Linked DNA regions of Pelodiscus sinensis. The protein of the gene in region 1 purifies or fractionates together with the protein of each later gene. This does not show direct contact. Links are inferred from orthologs where the notes say so. Each region holds a gene or a part of one and is shown in the gene's direction. Other genes may lie near its edges.

Evidence for each region. The genes of interacting proteins can lie anywhere in the genome.
Region 2: the proteins of STIP1 (region 1) and CCDC117 purify together in Homo sapiens (affinity purification with mass spectrometry; 5 studies listed by BioGRID and IntAct, counting the BioPlex papers as one, with this or other methods). This does not show direct contact. The link is inferred for Pelodiscus sinensis from reciprocal best matches to the Homo sapiens genes STIP1 and CCDC117.

The regions. Positions count from the first base shown.
Region 1 is NC_134721.1:33,441,551-33,445,299, reverse strand, and holds the start of STIP1 (stress-induced-phosphoprotein 1), read left to right. Parts: upstream 1-1,027; 5' UTR 1,028-1,174; coding exon 1,175-1,183; intron 1,184-3,749. UniProt on the Homo sapiens protein: Acts as a co-chaperone for HSP90AA1. Mediates the association of the molecular chaperones HSPA8/HSC70 and HSP90.
Region 2 is NC_134725.1:41,662,553-41,666,301, forward strand, and holds the start of CCDC117 (coiled-coil domain-containing protein 117), read left to right. Parts: upstream 1-1,298; 5' UTR 1,299-1,311; coding exon 1,312-1,374; exon of another isoform or gene 1,375-1,428; intron 1,429-2,724; coding exon 2,725-3,068; intron 3,069-3,749. UniProt on the Homo sapiens protein: Facilitates DNA repair, cell cycle progression, and cell proliferation through its interaction with CIAO2B.

The DNA.
Region 1 (3,749 bases):
AGTTTTACAGCACTTTATTCTTTTTGTACTTTTTACACCCAAAAATTGCATTGCCTGCCCAGCTACGATTAAGTTGTTTAAACAAATGTGTTGCAATAATAGAAAAAAAATTGTGAGTCTGAAAACTGTAGGTACTGGGGGGGGGGGGGTACATATAATTTTTCTTAAGGAGTACCATATTAAAAAAGGTTGAGAAACACTGTTGCAGCATGCACGTGCTCCCCAGTAAGTACAGGCACACAAAAGATGAGGCAGGTACAGGGTGCAAAAAAAAACAAGAGAAAAATACACATGGATTGGGCGAAGGAGTAGGACCACAACCACAGAGCCTGCTCCCCTCCCTGGGGCGTGCAAGCTACATGCAAACAACCTTCTCCAGCAGAGTGTGTACAACGCACGCGTGAAAACCCAACCGTATTAGGGGCCACGGAAAGCACATGCAAATGTGTTTCTCTTACACGCATGCGCAGACACCGCCTCTCGGGAACTCCAGCTCAGCCCCCACCAAGCAGAACGTCCCTCCTTTAAACTCTTGGAGTCGCCCAATAAGGAAGCGATGATGACGTAGACCCGCTCCGCTCAATCAGGACATAGCGCCTCGCATGTCGTCACCTTGTTCCTCAGAACCAATGAAACGAATGGAAAATTCCAGAAATGTCTCTAACCAATGGACACGGCCGTTAGAATCACGAGGGGTCTCCAGGCCAATGGATTTTGAAGATTGCTGAGAGTATTAGAGATGCTAGCCAATCACATGGGCAGGGCGGGGGGCGTGGTCCTAGGTTGAGATCCAATCACAGTGAGGGCGGGTAGAAGGAAGGCTCTTCGCGGGGCGTATTGATTGGCATACCTCCAGACTTATGAGACGCGGGGTAGGCGGGGCTAGTTGCGAATTGACATCTATGTTCTCGTATCCCTATGCGAATCTCAATAATCCCGCCCTGTTGGCGCTACCGAGGCGGAGAATAGGTAAGGCCCGGCCTGTGAGCGACACCCTTTCTAATCTATGGTGGCACTGAGGGGGCGGGACCCGGACGCGTACCAACCAATGGGGCGGCGAGGGCGATACAGGAGGCTTCTAGCAGGTTCCAGAAGGCGGCGTGAGACGGGGTAGGCCGGCTCGGAGGAGACTTAACCGGCAGCGTCCCGCAAAACTGGGCCCCGAGCCGGAGCCATGGAGAAGGTGAAGGGCCGGGCCTGCCAAGGAGCGAGCTGGGCTGTGTGCTGGCGGGCGGGGTAGCTGCAGCCTGGGGCAGGAGGTGACAGCTACGAGGGACGGCGCCTGGGGAGGGAGTTGGGGGGCAGGAGCGCGGGGTGGGGTGAAGCCAGGCAGGGGAGGGCCCGGGGTAGGCGACTTTGCCTCGAAGAGGTGCAAAGGTCTGGAGGGAGCGTGCTGCCAGATGCGTTTTAGCCCCCTCGTGTAGACGGGGCGAAGCTGTGTGTTAACCCGCGCTGGTTGGGCAGGGACACCCCCCCTTTCCGCCTATCGCTTCTCTTTACCTTGATTGCATGAGAGTGCCCGAATGAGCGACGTGAACGTGCCTACTGAAGTGACCACTCGGGAGAGGGCGGCTGGGCTCTGAGGCTACTGCAGAGCCGTCTGGGGCAGTGGAGCAGGTGTGAGACGAGGTAGCCGAGAGTCCTAGAAGTTGGTGGTAGCAGGGTTTCTGGGAAGCAGGCATGCGGGAGGAAATAGAGTGGTTTGGGCAGGAGGTTTCCTCGGAGCTAAAAAGGGGAGCACGAAGAGATGGACTGGCTAGTAAAGTAGGTAGCACAGGGAATCTGCATTGAATGTGAACAAAATGTATAAGATTGATTGTGTGTGTGTGTGAGAGAGAGGTTCAGTGTGCTGTCTGGAGATATGTAGCTGGGATGTAAGTACCATCTTCTCATTTTCTGCCTCACTTTTGCATGTGCATGCAGAAGTCTCCCTTGCCTCATCCCCCTGCAATAGAAGGCATGCCCAGGAAGGAGTAACTGTTCATGCTGAGTAGCTGTTGAGGTCTCCAAGCAACTATGAACTATGTATTGCATTCTAATGCTGGAGATGGCGGCTGTAGACAGACAGCTGACCTGCTGCTTAAACAAAGCCTATTAAGGTGCAGTAAGGAGACCCTGGAGTATTCTCAATCGAGGAAGCATTTGGAGCAGATGTACAGGTGGCATAATACAAAAAATTGTCACCAGAATCTCCCTTCTGCTTGTCCCATTTGAAGAGGGCCTGTCGCTTTGGTATGGGTAAAGGCTGCTCAGCTGACTTTGCTTCTTGAAGCATAGCAGATCACTGACTTGAGGAAGCTGCTTTATCTTGGAGTAAAGCAGTTTTGTTAACTTCACGTCTTAGTTTAAAATGTACGTTGCTATGGAACTAATGTAATTGAGGTGCTTATCCTTGCTAGAGCCTAGGTATACTATGGGTGACGGCAATGTGAGTCTCCTACACAAGCACAGCATTGCCAGTGCCCTAAAGTCCTGACCTACAAGATCCCAACTAGGGATGTTAAAATGGGTGTAATAAAGTAACTGTGTAAAATTTTCAGCAGTTACACGCTGAGTGGCAGCCAGCTCCTCAGGAGCTACTGTGTGCAGAGTCAGCTCTCCATATGTACTGGCTCCTGCCTGCACCCCACGCTGCTGCCTCTGTATCAGAATACCTGTTCATCATTGCACACAGGCAAACAAAGTTTGCACATTACACTTTCATATCCTGTGTTTGTCAATGCTCCTCAGTCCTGACATGCAGCTTCCTACTGTCCAAGTACTAAATTCCACCCCTCACAGCTTTGCTGTTGCCTGTCAATCCCAACTTCCTCCCCGCTTCACAAAAGGAATTCCTCCTGCCTCCACCCCTGCAGGCATAACTCCTGATTTATCTCTGCAAGTCTTCATTTCTGTCTTGCTTTCTGGCTTGAGCAAAAATGCCCAGGTATTGCAGTATTATATATTCCATACAAATGTTGGCTAGGAACTGGAATGAAGCTCATCAAAATTATCTCTACTTATATGGCTTGTGTCAGAGTGTAAATCCAGTTCTAAAATGGGCGGGGAGAAAAGTTCTTAGTTTGTATCATCATCTCTGAGCTGTTGAGCCCTGGCACTCACTAATTTTCCGGCTAAACAGTAAATGGTCAGGCTTACTGGTTAACAGGCCCTTGCCATCTCTGGAGTTAACTTGCCAGCTGTACCTGGAGAGGCCAGCTAGCAAAGTGGCAGTATCCCAGAACCAATGTGGGACTTAGGTTGAAACAGTTTTAACTGGTTAATCATTTTAACATCCCTGTTGAAAATTAAAATAGAATGTAAAGTGTGGTGGTATTTTTTAAAATTTGATTATTCATGCTTCTGCCCCAAATAGTAAGGCTCTTACGTTGTCAGCTAATTTGGGAGCTTCAGGGGGTAGCTGAGTTAGTCTGTTACAGGGGAAAAAAAAACCAGTAAGCAAATGGTCTGGTAGCACTTTATAGGGTGATCCTTCAAAAGTTTTTAGAGGTAGTAATTATTTTGCTATTCATGGCATATAATTTAAAGATCTATTATTGCTCAGGCCCCATCAGTACTGAAAAAGGAGTTGCATTGTAATAGTTTTAGGGAGCCATCTTAACACTCCCTGTAGAAGGGAGACTTTTGATGTAACTGGGACAAGCTTCTGTTTGTACTGGCAGAGTTCAGGTTATAAAGTACTTGGAGAGTGGAAGTAATAGGCTGAGAAAAATGCAAATTTTGTATGCAGACTTCCTAGGGAGCTCATT
Region 2 (3,749 bases), on another chromosome or scaffold:
CCCATATGCCTGAGGGCAGGAATGAATGTGTGTGAATGAATGGAGGTATGTATGTGCCTTTTTGTGTGTGTGAGAGAGAGATAGCTGGTTCCCTCCTCAGTTTAAACCTTTGGTGGCAGCTCTATCTTTATTTTATCAATAAACCAATGCTAGTGTAACCCTGGGTAGTCTCCAGTGGGAATTTTCTGATAACAGTTATTACAGTAATAAATCTAAGAAACTAAATTAAAAAAAAAACAACAATCCACCTCTCCCTGTCATAGCTCAGAAACATTAACAGGAGTTTGACTTTTCAGATAATGACAAACTGCATATTATGACTCCCCCTATTTTTTAACCCAATTTTAAAATAGCTACATCCCTGTAGAGTAGGGTTGCCAGGTGCTTTCCCCTACGTCTTAGTGCTCAACCGCTCCCCTATTCCTATCCCTGCACTCACTCTTAAAGGGGACATACTGTTTTATTTTAATGTTTTTTGGCATACTTGGAGTCCTTTTTTTTCCCTCAACAACTTTGGTCTCCCCCCCCCCCCTTTTATTCCACTTCAACAGAATTTTTTCCCATTTTTGGGGGGGGGGTTGGTATTTTTGTTTCAACCATCTGGTAACCGTACTGTAGAGAGGTAGCTAGACATAGGGGCTGTGTCTACACTGGTGCGATCTCGCACAAAAGCAGCTGCTCGCGCAAAAACTTGCTGCTTGTCTACACCGGCCGTGTGTTCTTATGCAAGTAAACTGACATTCTAATGTATAAAATCTGGGCTTTTTGCGCCAGAACTCTGACACTCTTGCTCAGGAATAAGCCCTTTTGTGCAAGAGCTCTTCCAAAAGAGGCCAGTGTAGACAGGCAACATGAATTTTGTGCACAAGAAAGCCCCCTGGTTAAAAATGGCCATCAGAGCTTTCTTGTGCAAGAGAGCGTCTACACTGGCACGGGTGCGCTTGTGCAAAAGCACATCCCAGTGTAGACTCTCTTCTGGAAGAGTTTGCCTGAGAAAGCGCCAGTGTAGACATAGCCCAGGGAGAACTGGATTTATTGTGGTAGGGTGGGAAATGTCCTCATGCTTTTTTAGAGAGCCTTGTATAAAGGTGGGAAGCACCAATTGCTGTTGTATAGCAGGAATAATGGCACTGATAACACGGGTGGGCTGGGCTCTCTGCTAGGATGATCGTCAGTTCTGGGCTGGTCACTGGGTCACCACGCATGCCCCAGTGCGCGCCCGGAACTACAGCTCCCAGCATGCCCCAGTGCGCGCCCGGAACTACAGCTCCCAGCATGCCCCAGTGCGCGCCCGGAACTACAACTCCCAGAATGCTCCATCTTCAAGCAGGCCCCTCCCACCGGAAATATGGGTCCTGTTTTCCGGCGTCTGCGGTGCGTTCCTCCGGCGCGGAGACAGGCCTGGAAAGGGGCCAGGCTGAGGGTCCTGTGAGCTCTGGCGCTGCTCTAGCGGGAGCTGGGGCGGGGGCTGCTGGCGCTGTGTGGGGCGGGGGCTCGGGCACGGACAGTGTCTGGTCCGAACTAGACGTTTCAGTCGCTCGCGCGTCGCGGTGTTTGACACCCGCAGGCGCCTTAGCGCGGCTCAGTGACACGCACCGAGCGGGGCGGGCGGGGCCGCAGCACCCGCCGGTCGGTTAACCGGTGACGGTTGGGTGGCGCTAACGTTTAACTGATGCCCCAAGTGGGGTCCAGGCGGGGGCTCGCAAGCTGGGCAGGAGGTGGCAGAGGTTGCCCTGGATGGGAGCAGCACCAGTCCTTGGCATCTAGGAGCTGGTGCAGGCCCCACCTGTTGCCAGTGACTGGAACCTCTAAGCCAGTGGTCCCCAGCCTTTTGGGGCTGCTCGGTGCGGGGCTGCTCACACCTCTGCGCCCAGGGCAGGGCCGCCCATGTGCCGTATGCCTGGGGCCAGCACCGCATGCACCACGTGGCAGGCGCACATAAATGCCTTGGCAGGCACCATGGCACCCACGGGCACCACGTTGGGGACCACTGGTCTAAGCATTACCCAGCAGGAAAAATTCACACCTCAAGAGACAGAGTTAAGCAGACCTAGCCTATGTTGTGGACAGCTCTAGGTCAGCGGAAGAACCTTTCCCTTGACATAGCTCTCATTTATCAGGAAGGTGGAATATATACAGTTTGTGTGTGTCGGAGGGGGGGAGAACCCCTACTATTTCTATAGCAGTAGTCTATTTAACATCCTTCTCTACACTGAAAAGTTAAGTCAACCCACTTATGTCTCTTAAAGGCATGAAAAATGTGCCCTTGTGAGTGACACAGTGGAGCTGACCAATCACCCTCTCTCCTGTTCCCTCTGGACAGTGGAATGCCAATAGAAGAGTTCTTCCATCAACCTACCTGTTTTCTCTAGGAGGTGGATTAACTACAGTCATGGGAGAACCATTCCCATATCTGTAGCAAGTGTCTGCACCCAAGTGCTACAGTAGCACAGCTGTGCAATTGTAGTCTTTGAAGTGGAGATGTAGCTTTACTTTGCTCGAGCAATTAGTAAATGGCACCACCAAAAGAACTGGTTTGCCTGTATAGGTACATCCACATTAGGGTTCTTAGTGACATTTTATTAAAACAAAATCACACCCTAACCAACACAATCATGCCAGCATCCCCTTTAAACTATACACCTGGACTTTTCCTTATTGATGCTTATGCAACATGATGCTTATTATTGTCTCACTGTTCTGGGTTGATTTGTTTCCCCCCAGGTACAGATGAAAATGGCAACATTGGGCAGATCCTTTCAAGGAGTTCCTTCTGTGGAATTTCCTCAGACTCCAGCAGCTCTCTCTGAGAGTACCTTCCAACCTGGCATCACACAGAGTGAGTTGCAGCCTGGAACTGTGGGGCATGAATATCCCCAGCAAAGCATGGGGGCTACGGCTGGGAATGGAAATGATATAATAGAAGGCTCTGACCCCACCAACTCATACCTGGACCTTGCTTCCCCAGCTGCAGTTGGAAGTTATGATGACACCTTGACTATTGCAACAGTTCCTTTCACAGACTTTGAAATCCCACCAATACTATTGCAGCCGCAGATTCGCACCCAGTAAGTACAAAAACAAACAGGAGAAAGGTGGGGGACAGCACCTCCTAACTATAGTAGATTTGTCTGACCAGCTAACTTTTCAGATCTGTAATTTGTATCAGTATTCTACCGGGATTGATAATTTTCAAAGAATCACAGAAGATTAGGATTGAAAGAGACCTCAGGAGGTCATCAAGTCAATCCCCTGGTGAAAGTAGGACCAACCACAACTAAATCATCCCAGTCAGGTCTTTGTCAAACCTCACCTTAAAAACCTGTAAGGAGGGAGATTCCACCACCTCCCTAGGTACTCCATTCCAGTACTTCACCACCCTCCTAGTTAAATAGTTTTTCATAAACTAAAACGTAGAATCCAACCTAGGCCTCCCTCAGTGTAACTTGAGACCATTGTTCCTCATTCTGTCATCTGTCACTACTGAGAACAGCCTCTCTCCATCCTCTTTGGAACCCCCCTTCAGGAAGTTGAAGGCTGCTATCAAATTCCCACCCTCCATTCATCTGCAGACTAAATTAACTCAGTTCCCTCAGCCTATCCTCATAGGTCATGTGCCCCAGGCCCTAATAATTTTTATTGCCTTCTGTTGGATTCTCTCCAATTTGTCCATATCCTTTTTTAGTGGAAGCCCCAAAACTGGACATAACAATCCAAATGTGGTTTCACCAGGGCTGCATAGAGGGAAA